2 linked regions of the Oryctolagus cuniculus genome follow. The protein of the gene in region 1 purifies or fractionates together with the protein of each later gene. This does not show direct contact. Links are inferred from orthologs where the notes say so. Each region holds a gene or a part of one and is shown in the gene's direction. Other genes may lie near its edges.

The links. Proteins that work in one complex are often made in the same cells at the same time.
Region 2: the proteins of CDK19 (region 1) and MED13 purify together in Homo sapiens (affinity purification with mass spectrometry; 6 studies listed by BioGRID and IntAct, counting the BioPlex papers as one, with this or other methods). This does not show direct contact. The link is inferred for Oryctolagus cuniculus from reciprocal best matches to the Homo sapiens genes CDK19 and MED13.

The regions. Positions count from the first base shown.
Region 1 is NC_091436.1:60,778,569-60,788,369, forward strand, and holds the start of CDK19 (cyclin-dependent kinase 19), read left to right. Parts: upstream 1-4,289; 5' UTR 4,290-4,324; coding exon 4,325-4,560; intron 4,561-4,593; exon of another isoform or gene 4,594-9,801.
Region 2 is NC_091448.1:35,405,389-35,415,040, forward strand, and holds the start of MED13 (mediator of RNA polymerase II transcription subunit 13), read left to right. Parts: upstream 1-4,728; 5' UTR 4,729-5,474; coding exon 5,475-5,540; intron 5,541-7,756; coding exon 7,757-7,991; intron 7,992-9,652. UniProt on the Homo sapiens protein: Component of the Mediator complex, a coactivator involved in the regulated transcription of nearly all RNA polymerase II-dependent genes.

The DNA.
Region 1 (9,801 bases):
CTCTCTGCTGTGGCCTGGGAAAGCAGTGGAGAATGGCCCAAGTCCTTGGGTCCTTGCACCCACATGGTAGATCCAGAAGAAGCTCCTGGCTTCGGATTGGCACAGCTCCGGCTATTGTGGCCAACTGGAGAGTGAACCAGTGGGTGGAAGACCTCTCTCTCTGCCTCTACCTCTCTCTGTAACGCTGTCTTTCAAATAAATAAAATAATCTGTTAGGATCTTTCAAAACAGAAAGCCTGGGTTTGATACCTGGTTCTGGCTCCCAATCCCAGCTTCTTTCTAATGTGGACCCTGGAAGGCAGCAGGTAATGGCTTAAGTAGTTGGGTCCCTTCCCTGCCATGCACACGACAGACCTGAATTGAGTCCCTGGCTTAAGGCTTTGTTTGGGTCCAGTCCCAGCTGTTCTGAGTATTTGGCGAGTGAACCAGTGCATGAAAGTTCTGTCTCTTTCAAATTGAAAAAAAAAAAAAAAAATCTGAAAAATTGAATTAAAATATAAATTTATTTTGGTGAAAAATATTTTCTTGAAATCTATGTATAGCTTTTTCTTCCTTCCTTCCTTTTTAAAAATATTTATTTACTTGAAAGAGTTACAGAGAGAGGGAGAGGCAGAGAGAGAGAGAGAGAGATCTTCCATCCACTCACTAAATGGCGCTGAAGCCAGGAGCCAGAATCTCCTTCCAGGTCTCCCACATGGGTGCAGGGGCCGTCTTTCTCTGTTTTTCCCAGGCCATTGGCAGGCAGCTGGATAGGAAGTGGAGCAGCCAGGACACGCACTGTTGCCCATATGGGATGCCAGCACTGCAGGAGGTGGCTTAACTGGCTGTGTCACAGTGCTGGCCCCTATGTATAGTTTTTTCCTAATACACAATTTCCATGAACTTTTTGAAGAACCTTACATGTTATTTAGAAAATATTTCCTGCTGAAATAAACATATATTTTAAAAAGATTTATTTATTTCATTTGAAAGTTACAGTGACAGAGAAATAGAGGGAGAGACAGAGATCTTCTATCCACCGGTTCACTCTCCAAATGGTCACAATGGCCAGGGTTGGGCTAGGCTGAAGCCCAGGAGACAGGAACTCCATCTGGGTAGCCCATGTGAGTGACAGTGACTCAAGTACTTGGGCCATTAATTGCTGCTTTCCTAGGTGCATTAAGCAGGTAGCTGTACTGGAAGCTGAGCAGCTGGAACTCAAACTGGCACTCTAATGTGGGATGCAGGTGTCCCAAGTGGCAGCTTAAGCTGCTGAGCCACAGTGCCCATTCCCATACACTTCTCTCTTAATTCCATTTTCCACAATTGTGAAGTACCTTTGCTCAAGACTGATTCTATTTCTCCTTAAGTCTATTTCTCAGAAGTCTTTAATGGCTTTCTTTTGCCTAAATAATAATGTAGTCTTGCATTAACTTCTGCTTGACATACACAGCTCTTTATGACCTCTGCTTATCTGTTTAGTCTCTTCTTATCTATTCCCTTTCCTTGCCTTAATCTGTCCTTATCTAATCTAGTTGCAGTTCTCAAAATAAATCATGTTCTCATGATATGGGTATATGCTGGCCTGCCTGGCTACTCCATTCGCCCTTCAAGTAAGAACCTACTAATATTCTCTCTCTCTCCATGTTTTTCAGAGTTAAACAGAGTGAGCAAGAGAGCGTGCATTTGAACAACTTGCTGGTTTACTCCCCAGTGCCCTCCAAGGCCTGGAACATACTCCCTTCCAGGCTCTGTAAGAGCAGGAGGTTGGAGCCAGGAGTGGGGACCCGGCAACTGAACCCGTGTACTCTGCTAGGTTAAATGCTGGTTCTTTTTCTCATTCTTTAGAATTTCGCTTAAATCTACCCCAGTCATGAAGCCTATCCTAACTCACCCAGAACTCTGTCTATTCAACCATTGCTCTTTGTACCCACACAGTTTATTTTTAATTTGCTTGCATGTTTGTTTATTCACTAAGTGCAGTTCCCTAAACGGAAAAAGACCAATTTTATTCTGGTATTTCCGGCACTCATCATAGTGCCTGGCAGCAAGGGCAAGTCGTATTCCTCTTGCCTGAAGATACCGTCAAGACCTAAGGAAGTTTCCTAGGACGAGGGGGAGTGTGCTCAGTAAATAAACAATCCTCCCCTTTCCTTCTAATTTTCCAAGCTTCTTTCAAAACCCAGCAGTTTACTATTAACTGTCCCTATTTCTTAAGGTAGTATCGACCATTCCCTCCTTGGTGCTCCTTCTAAAGGTGCAATTTAAGTCCCATCCTAGCTGGATATACTAGCTGGATCAGGTTGTATTCCTTGGGACAGTAGGCAGCCATTTGTAGGTTAGGGGAAATGGCTGCCCTCTGCTTTTCTTCGGCTGGTGGATGAATGAAATGAACACAAACCAGATTAACAGGAGAAAAACAATGTTAATAACATTGTTAATAACAGGAGTTCCAAAGATACAGGTCTTAATGAAGGACCAGGTGATTGAAGCTTCCTGATTGACAATAAGGGACTGGGCTCTGGAGCATCCGGTGGGGTGGTGGAGACAAACTGAGGGTGGGTGAGAGGAGGAACTATAAGGTGAATAATGGCTGGCTTTTTACGCAGATAAAAGTTATCCAGGAATAGTTCTTTTCCTCATACTGAAGCCTGGACTAATCAAAATTTCCTTAATCGACGTAAATTCCTCTTTACAAAAAGGAGAATTTTATACTTTATTTTCGGTGTGTGTGTGGGGGGGAGGGGGTGAAAGGGGGGAGGAGATGAAGAGCTTTTCTTGAATTGACCGGTTCTGAATTTCTCTTCTTAGTTCAGAGGTATCAGTATGCCAGAAAGGCAGGTTTCGGGGTGGGCACAGTCAGGAGGGTGGCGCCGCCTGAGCCCCAACACTTCAATGAAATAATGACTCAACCTTCAGCCGGATTAAAGGCACATATCCGTTCCTAGGAGTGCCCAACCGAAAAAAAAATTAAAAAAAAAAAGGCCTTAAAAAGGCAAGCCAAACGATTGCTTTTAAAACGCTGCATCTTCCGGGCACTTTAATTGTCCTTAGACAGATGGCCCAAGCTCGGCTGCGGGCGCCGCACATGCTCGGAGGGAACCGACTCGAGCGCCAAGAAGAGGCTGATTGGCTGCTGGGGCTCAGAAGTTACTCGTCCTCCTTATCGTAAGGCAAGAACTAGGAAACCGCTGACTCTACAGGTTTTGAAATACGGTTTCTGCATCGTAAAGAAAAACGATTAACCTATCAGGAAGAACCAAGCCTATGCAATTACCAATCCAGAGCGGGAAAGCAGCCAGAGCCCGGGGACACCACGCACCACGGCGGACGTCATTCTCTAGCCTCCGCCAATGAGCGACGGGACGGGGGCGGGCCGCTCGCCGCGGAAAACAAACAACAACCTGCGTTACAACTGTCCTGACCAGTCCTCCCTCTCGAGCCCTCGGAGCGCGCTGCTGCGCGAGGCGCCCTGCGTGTGACACAATTCCCACGCCCCTTCTGGCCCGGAGTACCTCATCCTAGCAGAGCAAGGGCCGCCGACACACCCACGCCCACAGTCTCTCACGAAGCACCCTCCAACTTTGCGCCTTCTACCTTCACAGGAACTGGTAGCCCAGCGCTACCTGAGGGGGAGGGGCGGCCCCAGTGCGCACGCGTGCGTGCTATGCGGGGGCGAGGCTGTGGAGGCCCGAGGTAGTCTGGGAGCTGTATTTCTCGCGCGGGCCGAACGTCCACGGCCCCTGGGGCCTGAGGAACTACATTTCCCAGGAGCCTTCGCAGCTTTGGGGCGGGCGGGCTGGCTCGTTAATGAGCTCGAGGAAGCCGCGGCGCGGCCCACCAGGTTCCAAAACAAGGAAATGAAGGGGGGAGGCGGGACCGGGGGTGCCTGCGGGAGCTGCCGCCGCCGCCGCCGCCGCGGAGGAGGAGTAGGAGGAGGAGGAGGAGGTGGAGGGGGTGGCTGCCGCGGCCGCCGAGGAGTCCCTTGCTGAAGGCGGACCGCGGAGCGGCGGGCGGCGCGCGCGCGCCCGAGAGGCGGCTGTTGGAGAAGTGGAGCGGCGGTCGCGGGGGGAGGAGGCAGAGGAGGAGGAGGAGGAGGAGGGACTGAGCGGCGGCGGCCCCCGCGTCCCGGTGCCTCTATGGGGGAAGCAGACAATGGATTATGATTTCAAGGCGAAGCTGGCGGCGGAGCGGGAGCGGGTGGAGGATTTGTTTGAGTACGAAGGGTGCAAAGTGGGACGCGGCACCTACGGGCACGTCTACAAGGCGAGGCGGAAAGATGGGTAAGAGCAGGGGCGGGGGAGTGAGCTCGCTCCGATCCTCGCCCTGCCCGCGACCCCGCGGGATGGGTGGGTCGGAGCTCGGGCGCGCCGTGCCCCAGGGGCGAGGCGGAGGTGGGCGCGGGGCCGCGTCCCGGGGCGGACTCTTGAGGGACGCCCGCTCTGACCGCTCCCCGCGCGGCCCCTTCGCGCCCCTCGAACTCCCGCGGCGCAGCCCCGTCGGGGGGCCGGTCCCGTTTGGTGGGCGCCCTCCGCGTGCCTGGAGCCGGCGGCGGGACTCCAGCTGGGACCTCGGCTGGAGGTGGAGTTGGTGGGGTCTGTCTCGTGGGGGAGACGCGGAGGGCTGGAAGAGCCCCCGTCGCGGAGTTGGCGCTCCGGCCCTGGGCTGCTGACGGTCGCTGAGGAACTTCCAATCGGCTGAGCGCCTCTCGGGGGCGGCGGTTTGAAACCTGGCGGGGGAAGCCAGGCGGGCGGACGGGCCGGCTGGGCGCCGCCACTCTCAGCCGCGACCTCTGCCTCGCGGGCCCGTCAGCCCGGTGGCCCCTCAGCGCTGTCGCTCCGGTCCCAGTCGACCCTTCCTCCCGCGCCCCTCCGGTTTCGGGGTCTCACTTTCTGAATCGCACACCTTCTCCTTGGAAGGTGGGACCACCGCTTCCTTGACAGGAACCGCGTTTTGCCGGCGGTAACTTCAGAGTTCTTTCAGTTCCGCGTAGCACTGCCCGGGGGTCTCGGGCATTCTTGCGCCCTGCACCCCGGGCGCTGGCCGTGGACTGCGCGCTGGGGCTCTCGGAGCATGCAGGTTACTCCGAGCGGAATACGGAGTGACGGGGCAGGGCCCGAACCTCTGTTGTCCTGGGAGTTGAGGGAGACCCGTGGGAACCCCTTGGGAAGCTGGATAGTGGGCAGCGGAGCTCGCACAGCGGGACAGGTGGAACCAGCTCCCTGCCTTCGAGCGGTGGCTTGCAGCGGGTCGTCACCTCTCGTCCCATCCCCCTCGCCCCGGAACTCCCCTCCCCCGGTGTCAGGGCGCCACGGAAAGTCTGCCTGTCCTGCCTAGACCCCACAGACGGTCCAAGTAACCGGAACAGAGTTTTCAGAATTGTAACGGAGTGTTCTGAGTGAAGTGTTGAGCAGCCACACGACGTAAGACTCAAAGTGCTGCACGCTCTTGTAATCTGATGTGGTTGGTTTATGAATTCTAGAGCCAAGTAGGTAGATTGTGTGTGCTAATTTCGTAAGAGGAACAACAAAGCACAGTTTTATAAAGTATTTTATCATAAAGCATCGTGAAATTGTTCAAAGGCTTATCCCAAGTTTACAGGATTGTTACTGCAGGTAGCTTTTTTCTTTAATAACTGAACAGGTTCTTTAGTACGCAGTTTCTCAGTTCTTTTAGTTAATTACCAGGTATCCTTGCATGCACATCATGGAATCTGAGGTACTGTAATTAAGTTGTATCTTGTTTTCGGAATGTCCACTCGACCTGTTTTACTTGTGCTTCTGTGGATATATTTGGGGAATGCACACGAAGTTTTCCGGATTGGACATTGATGTAAAATAAATATGAGGTGCGTTTTTTTCCATACTCCTCACGCAGACTTTGTAATATACCTCAGAATTTTAAAAATGTATTTTTTTTTTGGATAAAATAGCATTCTTTTAGCAGACTACTTTTGAGAAGTTAAACAAATGTGCTTCTGAATTGTATTTGAACAGGACAGGCTTGCAAGAAGAAGTAATTTAATTCCTGCTCTTTGTTCTTTTTGAATATTTGTCCTTTTAATAAAGTTCTTGATTGGAATACACTCCTTTCTTGAGTGAAATTTATTAATTAGAATTCATAAACTTTCATTACTAGAGTAAGGTCAGTTTGTGCATTTTCAGTATATTTGTTGTGTAGGATCTGAAAGCATTAAAGAACTATTTTACATATATGAAAAATCATAATGAACTTTTTTTTTCTTGGACTGAAATTTTAGTTTAGATTTGCAACTTTCTGATAAACACCTTCGGTAATGGGGTCAGTTAGGTTCATATCAGTGATTTGACAGAATACAAAGTTTTTGCTGATAGTCCCTAAACTCTGATGCAGATTTACATTGTAAAGGATTTTTATATTATGATCATAGTAAATACATTAGCTCTGTTTATAAAAAATTTTAAAGATATTTTAGGGAGCAAGAGATAGATTACATGGGTGCATTAAAGAGAAATTATTCTGGGGATGGGTGTTTGGCGTAGTGGTTAAGATATGACTTGTGGGGCCGGCGCTGTGGCTCACTTGGGCACCAGCATCCGATATGGGCGCTGGGTTCTAGTCCCAGCTGCTCCTCTTCCAGTCCACCTCTCTGCTGTGGCCCGGGAAGGCAGTGGAGGATGGCCCAGGTGCTCGGGCCCCTGCACCCGCATGGGAGACCGGGAGGAAGCACCTGGCTCCTGGCTTCAGATGGGCGCAGCTCGCCAGCTGTAGCATCCATTTGTGGGGTGAACCAGTAGAAGGAAGACCTTTCTCTCTGTCTCTCTCACTGTCCAATTCTGCCTGTCAAATAAAAAAAAATAAAAATAATAATAATAAAAAGATATGATTTGGGACATCCATGCCCTCTATCAGAGTGCCTGGTTTGAAGGTCTGGTTCCACTCTCCATTCCAGCTTGCTGCTGGTGTGCACCCTTACAGGCAGCAGGTGATAGCTTGAGAAGACGGACCCCTCTCATGTCTGGGACCTTGATTGAGTTCAAAACTCCTGCTTTTGGTCAGCCCCAGCCCCAGCTGCTGCAGGCATTTGGGGAGTGGACCAGTAGGTTGGAGATCTGTCTCTTTGCCTTTCAAATAAATAGGAAAATAATTTCAGGTTTATATCTTGTACGTATAACCCCAAAATTGTTGAAGTCTTTAGTGTATACATTGGGAAAGTTAATATACACAGTCATTAGAAAAGCCTCTGCTGGGGCCTGCGCCATGGCTCACTTGGTTAATCCTCCACCTGCAGCGCCGGCATCCCATATGGGTGCCAGGTTCTAGTCCCGGTTGCTCCTCTTCTAGTCCAGCTCTCTGCTGTGGCCCAGGAGGGCAGTGGAGGATGGCCCAAGTGCTTGGGCCCCTGCACCCGCATGGGAGACCAGGAGAAGTACCTGGCTCCTGCCATTGGATCAGCGCGGTGCGCCAGCCACAGTGCACTGGCCGTGGCGGCCATTGGAGGGTGAACCAACGGCAAAGGAAGACCTTTCTCTCTGTCTCTCTCTCTCACTGTCCACTCTGCCTGTCAAAAAAAAAAAAAATTTCTTCATTAGTGAAGAAATATGTAATTTATGATTAAAAATCTTTAGACTGTATTTCTTTAGTTGGAAATAGCTTAATTTGGATTGTTAGAGGAATGTTAAAATGTTCTTTTGTCAATAAGAGTTTGAGACAAATATGATTGCGTTGCGTAGTACAAATATATCTGAACACTGCCGTACTCAGAAGTACTATTCAGCTTTGTAAACTATTCATTTATCCTCTTGAATCACTTCAGTAAGAGAATGCTGCTTTTTGGGAGTGTGTTTATGAGAAATACTTAGTAACTGAGTGAAATGACTAAGAGACATCTTAAAAGTTTCAGTTTTGTCAGGGTGTCAGATAAGTAGTTGATGATGACATATCTTAGTGTGTGTCATGAAATTGTTCACAAATAGTATATTTATAATAGTAGATTTGGCTAAGTAAATGCAGGTGTACAGTATTTGCCTGTTTTGACTTTATAGTTAAAATACATTATCATATAAGGGTAGTTCAAAAAGATCATGGAAATTTTCATTAATTCTATTTTTCCATGAAGTTTTTGAAATATCTTACATCTGCTTTTTGTTGGAAACTACCAAATGATTAAAAAGTTTTTTAAAAGTTACATTTTTTTTATTAAACTGAGAAGTAGGGAAACAGTAAGAACTTCTATACACTGATTCACTCCTGAAATGCCTAGAGTGGCTGGCCAAAGCCAGGAGCCAGAAACTCAATCCAGGTCTAACATGGGTGTGAGGAACCCAGTTACTTAATTTGTCATATGGCTGCCTGCCATCTGCATTGGTGGGAAGCTAAGATCTGGAGCACAGTAGTATGCAGGTATCTTAACCACTAGGCCAAATGCCAGAACCTTCTCTTTTTTTAGACATCTGTTTATTTGAAGGGCAGAGTTACAGAGAGACAGAAGCAGAGAGAGGGAGAAAGAGAGAAAGACAGGGAGAGGTCTTCCATCCATTGGTTCACTCCCCAGTTGGTTGCAACAGCTGGAGCTGCGCTGATCCAGAGCCAGGTGCTTCTTCCAGGTCTTCAATGCGGGTACAGGGGCCCAAGGACCTGGACCATCTTTCACTGCCTTCCTAGGCCATAGCAGAGAGTGAGATCAGAAGTGGAGCAGCTGGGACTCGAACTGGCGCCCATATAAGATACTGGCACCGCAGGTGACGGCTTTACCCCCTATACCACAGCACTGGTCCCCAGAATTTTCAAGAGTCTGAGAACTTCTATTTGAACTTGCTCTTAAAAAGGAGAAACCCAGAGCTCTGAGAGGTTAATTTTGGCTCAGAGTTTCACAGCAAAGATGAAGCCTGTAATCTAGGTCTAACCCTGGTTCTTTCATTTTCTAGTATGTTTTGTGTTCCTATTTAAAAAAATTTTTTTGGGGCTGGCATTGTGGTGCAGTGTGTTTAAGCTGCTGCTTGGGAACCCACATCTGATATTGGAGCACCTATTTGAGTCTTGGCTGCTCTGCTTCCATTCCAGCTCCCTGCCAGTGCACCTGGGAAGGCAGCAGATGATGGCCCCAGTAATTGGGCCCCTGTCGTACACATGGGAGATCCAGATGGAGTTCCAGCTCTTGGTTTCAGCTGGGCCAACCCCTGGATATTGTGGTCATCTGAAGAGTGAACCAGTGAATAGAAGATTGTCTCTCTCTCTCTCACTCTGCCTTTCAAATAAATTGAAATTATTTGAAAGTGACATCTTTCATCTGCTGGCACTCTGGCATTATAGGTGGCAACTTAACCTGTTGGGTCACAGTTCTGGCTCTCTGTATGTAGGTAGCACTGTAGGTAAGAGTAACGTGTCACAAACTATTACCTGCAAAAGGGTCAGCATTATATTTTCAGTGTCTTGTACAGGGTTAGACATTATAATACACAGTTAGAAACCATATTGAATTTTAAAATATGCTCCAGATTGGCAAACATGTTTCATTGATCTTAAATCAGAACACTTTTTTAGAAAGCCAGCATTGTGGTGTAGCTGGTTAAGCCTCTGCCTGTGATACCAGCATCCCACATGGGCACTGATTCAAGTACCAGCTGCTCCACTTCTGATCCAGCTTCCTGCTAATGTGCCTGGGAAAGCAGCAGAGGATGGCCCAAATGTTTGGGCTCCTGCCACCCACGTGGGAGACCAGGAAGAAGCTCCTGGTTTCGATCTGGCCCAACCTTGGCTGTTGAGGCTGTTTGGGGAGTGAACCAGCTGATGGAAGAGCTCTCTCTCTAACTCTGCCTTTCAAATAAATCTTAAAAAAAAATT
Region 2 (9,652 bases), on another chromosome or scaffold:
AGTTCCTCTCTTTACTTCGCCACCTCGCTCGCTGATGCCTTGGCAGAGGGAATAAAACGTGAAACAGAAAGGACGTTTTCAGACAAGCTCTCCTCAATTCGTTCAGGCCTCTTCACTTCCTGCCTGGGTTACCACAATGCCCCAAAGTCCTCTCCTGGCATCTTGTTTCTAAAAACAAATCTTAGCTCGTCACTCTGATGCTTGCAGTCTTTCAATGGTTACTCATTCTCCTCTGGATAAAATCCAAACTTTTCATGATCTGGCCCTGGGATTGCTGCTCCAGCCAAATCTTTCTCCATCGATACCAAGCCGTCCAGTCCCCCGGCCCCGGCCCTGGCCTTCCTCCTGGGCCTCTCCCCCCTCCCCCAGCCCCCTCAGCCTTTTCCTGGCTGAACCCAAGCCCATCCTTCAAGATTTAGTTTCAACTGTCCCGGCAGGAAGTTTCTCTGGAGCCCCTCATGATATATTAGGCTTCCTCAGCAAACTTAACAGACCTCTTCGGACTTGAGCAAGTGGCTCTTTAAGCCTCATTATCTCAATCTAGAAAATTGGAATAATGCAGTACTTACCTCAGGAGCTTGCAGCAAAGATACTGAGCACTGCGCCTGTCTCGTACAGTGTCACCTATCAGGTGTTAAATCGTAGCAATTACGTAATCTCTTCATCACGTTTGTGGAAAAGAGATCGAGGGAGGTCAAACGGCTCATGTAGAAAAAAGGCAGTGGGCGGGGAATTTCTGATTAGCTTAGAAAGGTTTACAAACCTAATTTCAAAGTGAGGAAATCAGAGGGAATTTACTTTAAATCTCACATTGAAATGAAATATTTGAAAGAAAACTTGAGGTTAAAGTGGATTCTACGCTACTAAGAAAAATGGCAAGTCAGAGCAACTTTTGAGACACTTCAGAGTATTTGATGCATAGAATCACAATGTTTCCTTAACAGTTCCAACTTGCTAATGACTTTGTGTGGAGCTGCTTACTTCTATGTTCAAGGGAGTGGTGTCCGCACATTCACTGAGTAATGTGGTTTGTGACTTCTTAGCCTTTCTGTCTATTGAATTAAGTGCAACATTAAACCATTAACATGACCTTAAGAAAATCAATGCTGCCCGAGGCTCACGACCACTCATTCTACAGCTTAACTGGTCCTTAGCTTCAGCTTTTGACTCCAAACTTGTACTATCCAACTCAGTAGCCATGAGCCACACATGGCTATTGGGTGCTTGAATGTGGGTAGTTCGAACTGAAATATGCTGTCAGTAAAATATGCATAGATTTTGAAGGTCTGGTTGAGAAAAAAAGGAATGCAAACTATCTCAATAATTTTTACACTGACTTCACGTGAAATGATATTTCTGATTTAGTGTGCTAAATAATTTAAAATATTAAATGCATCTATTTCTTTTTAATTTTTTGTTGTGGCTACCAAAATATTTCAAATAACTTATTTGGCTAATTATATGTCTACTGAACAGCTCTGCTCTTGACCTTGTGGTTGCTCTGTCTCTCCCTCTTGCTCTGTAATTCTGCCTTTCAAATAAATAAATAAATCTTTTTTTTAAAAAAAAGCACTGCACACTGTACATGAACTTTAAAAAATGTTTGTGGAAAAATGGAATGTAAAGAATTTTTGAAATCCATGCATATTCCTTGTATATGAGCATACAGAGAAAAATTTGGAAGGAAATACTTCAAATATTAAAAGATGGTTAATTGTGATGTTACGGGGTTTTGGAGTAATATACACTTGAAAATTTCATTTCTATATATTCCTCTATTCCAAGCTTTTTAAAAAAGATTTTCAATTTTATTTATTTGAAAGGCAGAGTTACAGAGAGAGAGAGAGAGAGAGGTCTTCCATCCCCTGTTTCATTCCCCAAAGGGCCACAACGGCCAGAGCTGAACCAGGCTGCAGCCAGGAGCCAGCGAGATGAGATGCCAGTGTTGCAGGTCATAGCTTAACCCACTGCACCACAACGCGGGCCCCTATTCCAAAGTCTTGACATATGTGTGCATAGTTTTAAATTATTTCCTTTTATTCATTACTTTTATATCCCTTTTAACCTCTGCCCTCACATATGCACAGCCTCTACCCTCAGCCACATTCTTTACCAGGGTGGTGCATTTGTCGCAACTGCTGAACCTACATCACCGTCACCTAAGTCTATATTCCCCTTACTCTTTGGAAGCGCATAGAATTCCGCTTTACACAATCCACGTGCTAACTCACAAGGTCTGTGTGGCCTGATACTGCTGCCTTCTGTTCAGCTCCTTCCCATGATGTCTGCATTCCGCTCACTCTTGGTGCGGGGAGCTGGTCCTCTTCTTCCACTTGGCTTCATTTTTCTCTCAGTGTCTCACATCCACTTCCTCTCTCCTCAATCCCCACCTTCTTTTCCCCTCTCCTTCTTTTCCTCCCCCTCTCCCTCCTCCTTCTCCCACCGTCCCCCTCCTCCTCCTCCTCCTCCTCCTCGTCTTCCTCCTTTCTTGTCTCCTGTCTCTCCTGCTGTTTTGGGGAGTCTGGCATGCACATGCAGGGTCAAACATCTGTAGGTTGCAGGCAGATTCCACCTGCCGCTGGAGTCCTGGAGAAGGTGCTCACCTTAGGGGGCGGGACCAAGGGAGCGCAAGACTTCTCTGGAGGATGGATGCGGTGTAGATGCTCGGTGGGGGAGGATCTTTCAGGCTGAGGAAGGCAGTCGGCAAAAAGCAGAGGACTTTCCGGGGGAGAGTCCAGCAGAGGAGCTCTTCCGCCGCTGGGTCTGCGGATTGCTGTCTCCTCGGGCTGGCAGTCACTTATGAAGGATGCTGACCTTAGTTGATTTGAGCTCCTGGATTGAATTAGTCCTGGTTGTATAATTGACTTTGATATGTGGCCTTTGGATCTGAATTGGGTTTAATGAGATTTAACTGCTTCAAAGGGCTTTATAAGAATTCATTTTATCCTTCAAATCTGATTTCAGATGCTACCTACTTTATGACGCCTTCTTGGGCTTTGATGGTCCTCCTCTCGTGCTCCCATGGTGCCCTGGCTGATACATACTGTGCTCAAGCAATTGCCCCCACTGTATTTTCTCTTTTCTGGATGAAATCTTTCCTTTATTGCCTCTCTTCAGGAATCTTGAGGGACAGGCAGGTATCTTGTTCATGTTTGTATCCCAGGCCTACCACAGACCAGGAACACGTTCAACTGAGCCAGCAGGTGCTCATAATGGCTTTTAAAGATTATATGAATGGTTAACATTAAGTAAGCACTGTGGCAAGCGCTATACCTATATTGTTTCACTCATTAGACACTTCAGAAGAAAAGAACTTTTATTATCCTCATTTTACAGCGACTGAGAGTAAGATACATTCATTTGATTTAAGGTCAACTGTAAGTGGCAGAATTTTTTGTACGTGGTTTCGGCTTCAAGCTATGGGCTCTTACCTGACCACAGAAGGAGACACGGATGGCTGAGGAACGCTTCTCCTTCCGTGGCTGAAGACGTGACTGCAAGTGTCCACCATTGATTTTACAGAGGAAATTACGATGTTCTAACTCATTGATGCTTCTAACTTCTCAATCATCTTTTCCCTCATTCTTCTTCTCAAAGTTTTATTTGAAAGGCAGAGTGACACAGAGACAGAGCTCTTCCATCTGCCACTTGCGCAGTGTGGACCCCCGTACTTTACATCACAGCTGCCTCCCAGGGTGCACATTAGCAGGAAGCTGGAATCGGAAGTGGGGACTCGATATAAGCACCCAGATGTAGGATGTAGCGGGCTTAATCCTGAGCCAAACAGGGGAGCCCCTTTTCCTTCTTCCTTTGGTGTAACCCTCTCAAGGAAAATGTTTTGAACGCTTCCTTTGAGGTGTAATCCAGCCAAAAACTAAGTGTTTTATAGGGAAGGGAGCTAACATTTTCTCTGGTTCTTGTAGCCACTCATGCATTTGTGAATTTACATATACCAAGCAAGCACCTACTGTGTGCTAGGAACTTCTTTCGGCGCTTGACAGCGGTAAGCAAACCGAGTGGAGGTTCTGGGGCGGAGGGGGGGTGGGGTGGGGGACGCGCAGGTGCCTGGCTCCCTGGCTCCTCGCGGCAACCGCCCCAGGTCACAGATAACTCTTAGCCCGCGGGTCTGCGCCCGGGGCGGGGCTGGGTGCTTCATTTGTGCTAACTCGGCACACCAAGCCTCTGTGCCAAGGGGCAGTCTCTCCCCCTTTTACGGATGAGGAGACCGAGACACAGAGGCTAAGGGACTCCCGCGGCTTCGAGCGCAGGCTCTCCCGCACACGGCTGCATTGTTTCGTTTATGTCTCTCTCTTCCTATCACAATTTTTAGCCGCTGAATCCTTGTCCCCTGACTCCCAAGTCCGGGGGTTTGCGCTGTGCCCGGGCAGCCTCGTGGAATAAATGAGAATGCCTTGGAATTTTGGGCAACTCTTCCTCTTCCAAAGAATTCAAACTGATTTCCACGTCATTCTGAGAGACTTGTGAAGAGTTCCCCCGCCAGGGCAAAGAGAGTGCGTGGGCCCCGGGTCACCTTACACGGCCAGGGCACCCAGCAGATGGCGCTATTTCAGTAGCCACCCGCCGGCTGCCCAGTCCCCTGGGCTCACCGCCTCAGCCGAAAGCTTCCCGGCCCTCCCTCACTCCCTTCTCTCTCCCCCTCCCCACGGAGCCCGGCCCACGTGACCTCCAGGCGGCCAATGGGCGAGCAGAGAGGGCGAGCTGGTCCCTGTGGCCGCCATTAAAGCGAAGGGAAAACCCGTGAATTCGGATTAAAGGGGGAAAAACACCGCCCGCTGGGCCCACAAAATGGGGGAGACTAAGGCGTCCAGGCGGTGAGGCCGCAGGAGAGCAGACGTTAGGCCGGCGGGGCCCAGGGACGACACGAAGACACAGCCAGAGAATGGTCTGAGCCCGGAGACACCGCCACCACCTCCGCCACTGAGGAGACTCTGGGCTTTAAGGACATCGCCGCTGCCGGGCCGGGGGCCTGGGCTCCTCTCCCGGTTCTCGCCCTTCCCGCCCCTCTCGGGGCTCCTCCGCGCCCGGGAGAACCCTCCGGAGCTTGGGCTCTGCGGTCTCGGACTCGATTTTGATTATTTATTGTGTAATTTATTGTTTTTCTTGTGGAAGGAGCACACATCGCCTCTGTCCCCCCGGAGAGGGACGAGCGTCCGCGGGCTCCGCAGTCCGGCCCGCCGGGCGAGCGCGGCGCGGCCCTCCCGCCTCCGGCCCTCGGCCCCGGGCGGCTGGGTGCCGGCCGGGCGGCGGGGGCTGCTCGCGGCGGCGGCGGCGGCGGCGGCGGCGGCAGGGGGGGTGGGTGGGGAGGGCGGGCGGCCCGGCGGCCTCCTCTTCCACCGCCCCCCCAACCACCACCCCCCCGCCCTCCCCGGTGTCTGTGTTTCTCTCTCTGGTCGGAGGCGGCGGTAATGGCGGATGGTGGGTTGTGGCGCCGGCGGCGGCTGCTGTGAGGGACGATGAGTTCCTCCTCCGTGCAGAACGGGGCCAGCCTGGAAGATTGTCACTGTAACCTCTTCTGCCTGGTGAGTGCCGGGGCCGCGGGCGGCGGGGGGAGGGGGCCGGGGGGCGCCCTTGGGCCATGGGGGAGGGGGCCGGGTCGGATCCCGATGCCCGAGTGCCCGGGCTAGGCCCAGCCGGAGCCGGTGCCCTGCGGAGCTCCGCAGCCGGCGCCGGGGACGGCGTCCGCTCCCCGGCTGTCCCGGGCTCCGTCCTGGGAGTGTGGGCTCTTCTCCCTTGTCCTGTTTCGGACTCCGTGTCTCTCTCTCTTTTTCCACGGAAGTCTTGTCTTCAACTTGGGCACCTTATCTGGTCGGACGCGAACATTTCCCTCTGTGTTTCTTGCTTAACTGTTGCTTTTCTCCCTGGTGACTCTGTGTCCCTTTTTCAGACTTTCCGTGAGTGCTCCTGCTTCCCCTGCCTTTCGGCCTTCCCCGGGTCATTTGGTTTCCCCTGGTATACGGGACCCTAGACCCGGAGCAGGGAAAGGCTCTTTTCTTCGTTTTTCATTTCGTTTGCCTGAGTCAGACTAACTCAGGGTTACTTTTCTTCCTTGGCTGACTTCAGATCTTTGTGTCAAAAACTAGTAGATGCTGTTTCATATGTCTTCTTTCTAAACTTTGAAAACAGTTTGCCATTTTGACAATTTCTAGCCATCTTGCTTTTATTAGAACATTATGTTTTTCTTGAGAGTGGAAGGTCTGATGGAGGAGGTGCTGTGGTTTTTGCACTAAATGCTTCTATATTTGTCTGCTTTGCTTGCTGTTTAAGACGGTTTGGAACAGCCTGCTCCTTGTTTTATTAAAAAGTCTGGGCAATCTGGGTGTCGAGATGACAGTTGTGTCGATTGGCCCAGGTCTGCTAACACCCAGCGGTGAAGACTTAGAAAAGTACCAACTGCTGGACGTAATAATAGCGTCCTGAGTTGGACAGTAGCTGAGCTCCATCAGTGACTCGAAGTTTGGGTGACTTTCCTTTCTCATTTTCCCCTGTAGTATGTGAAATAATAAGAATATATGATAGGGGGTCGGGTCCGTGGCGTAGTGGGTAAAGCCACCGCCTGCTGTGCCGGCATCCCATATGGGCCCTGTTGGAGTCCCGGCTGCTGCACTTCTGATCCAGCTCTCTGCTGTGGCCTGGGAAGGCAGCGGAAGATGGCCCAAGTCCTTGGACCCCTGCACCCACGTGGGAGACCCGGAAGAGGCTCCTGGCTCCTGGCTTGGGATCAGCCTAGCTCTGGCCATTGCGGCCATCTGGGAAGTGAACCAGAGGATGGAAGACCTCTCTCTGCCTCTGCCTCTGCCTCTGCCTTTGCCTTTCTGTAGCTCTGCCTTTCAAACAAATAAATAAATCTTAAAAAAAAAAAGGGTATATGATAGGTAAGTGATTTTAAGTGGGCGGAGCACAAGTAGCTGGCAAGTGTTAACTGCCAGCCAGTCATGTTTCAGCAGTTTCATTTTTTGGCACCTCATGCTTTGCATCTTTAAAGAAGTATTGAATTTCTTTTGTCACATTTTTTTTTTCATGATGTTCAGTTGAGGTCTTTAATGCACTTCCCCCTTCTAAAATATGTTGATCAGCATCTCTTCAGATACAGTAAGGCAAACATCGGGTTTTACATTTCTGTCCTCTCCCAACTCAGTCTGTTTTTGGAACTTTTAGGATCAGATTCTTTGAAGATAGCCTGGCACAAGCCTGACAGTTCTTTGTGATAATTATTTGACTTTTCCAGAGGGGTGTGTGTGAAGAGTTAACATGAATTTTTTTTTTCTTCCAAGAATTGTTCAGGTGTCTTTTTTCACTAGAGTCATGATTACAATAAATATGTAGTGATGGGTCTTAAGAATTAATTTTCAGCTAAAAGCTTGATATCAAGGATCAAATGTCACCAGTTAGAATATAACTTACGACAGAAGAAATATATACTCAGTGTGCAATATTAAAGTACAGTTTATATTTAGCATCATTAAGTTCTTTTATTTCTTCTTGGGACACATTCATTAAGTTACTATGCAGCGACATCTTGGTGTCAATTTTTTAAGTTTTTTTTCCCTTAGATTCTTGGTTGTTTTACTATCAGAATTAAAAAGTTTTTTTTTTTTTTTTTAAATCTTAACCTGCTTTCAGTATGTTAGGTGTACATTGAAAAATTCTAGTGTCTTAATGAAATAAGGTACTTCATAATGAATGCTTGAGACTTTCAGTGAATACACAATAATAAATCATGCTTTCTTTCCTCCAGGCTGACTTGACAGGAATTAAATGGAAACGATACGTTTGGCAAGGCCCAACTTCTGCCCCTATTCTGTTTCCGGTGACAGAAGAAGACCCCATTTTGAGCAGTTTTAGCCGCTGCCTTAAGGCAGATGTACTTGGTGTTTGGCGGCGAGATCAAAGACCTGGAAGAAGAGAACTGTGGATTTTTTGGTGGGGTGAAGATCCCAATTTTGCTGACCTTATTCACCATGATTTATCAGGTGAAAGCAACTTACTTCTTACTGGTGATACAACAGTGTTGCATAGCTTTTCCAAAATACCATTTGTATTACAAATTAAGGTGTGTGTGTTTATGTGTGTGTATGTGTGTGTGACACTGTTAGGTATGAAACCAGATGAAAGATCATCATGTTTTATTTAACTGTGATTATTTTATTTACATAAATCATCAATATGTGTTATGATGGGTTTTTTACACTGAGGATAACTGTCCTTCTGTCACCCAGCTTCCTTCTTAATTTCTCACAGGTGGTTAGATCCCAAGGAATACATTAACCTCAGAAAATTGGAATTGGGGAGCATAAAGTTCATACCAGAGCCATACTAATACTTTGGAAGCAAAGTGTAACTCAGCCTTTGAGTCAGTTCTGTCACTGATCTTTTTTTGCCTGAATGTACAGATGACTGTAGGAGTATCTAGAAATGTAACTTTTTGTTGTGTTTCTTTAGAGGCTTAGAGTTATTTTGTTATTGCTGTGTGTGATTATTACTTTATTAACACTTGAAGGCATGTGTTCATTTTGTTATTTTTTAAAGTGAGTCTTAGATACTGTTCCATTAAAGACTATTAATGTGAGACAAGTGCCAACTTGTTTTAATTTTTATAGGACATAGGATCATAATCGAAAAAGTTACACAGAAATACCTTTATTGTGAGCAAATAAATATTACTTTCTTTGTTTTAGGACTAAAAGCTACTTTAGAGACAGAGGATAGCTAGCTCTTCATGTGATTACTGAAGCTTGGATTTACTGTGAGAGTCAGTGTTAACTGAATTTTTGATGATAGAAATGCATATGATTAGTTGTGTTGTGCTGCAAAGTGCCAAAGACTTCAAATTAGTATGATAATGATCCTTGAAGTATAAATTTCTGATTTTTTTAAAAAAGAGTTCTTATTTTACCCTAAAGTTTCTGTTAATATTCACTAAATAGAGCCATCTGAAATAGGGTCTGTTTTATTTTTGAAGGAAATATGATCTAGATACACGTATAGTACGTGAGACCAGTATTTATGTAGGAATTCATGTCTTATATTTAATAATTGCTTTTACTTTCTAGTGCATATACTACACCCTCTGCTGTGTTAATTACATTTGAGAGTGGTTGCAATTCTTCTTGATAAAGCTTGCCACTTTTCCCAACATGCCTGCTTAGAGAATCTAGTCTTTAGTTCTAAATACGTAGTAAAGTTCTAAATTTGTGAATTGTGTTTATATTTCTGTGTGTATATATAACGTATGCACATATGTCAGGATGTAAAAATGCCTGAGTGGTTTGAGTAAGGTGATGCTTCTAATTGTTACACCAAAAGCTAAACATGTCAACTTGGTTTTTCTTTCATTGGTTTGGGTATAGCTAAGTAACTTTAATCTTTGTATGATCATAAGAAAACCACCTTACTGAAATGTTTGGGGACTTACATTGTTGATAAGACTCTAAAATTACATAATTTTAATGTATATAACATGTAGTTATATAACAATGTTGTGGATAAAACTAGATAAACTGTACTTTTTGATAAAACATTGTTGATAAACTGCAATACTGTCCTTGGCAGTTTCGATTGTCTTAAAGTTTACAGAGAATCTTAGCAGTTTTCCCCCCCTTAAGATTCCATGAAATAACATTTTGAAGAATGA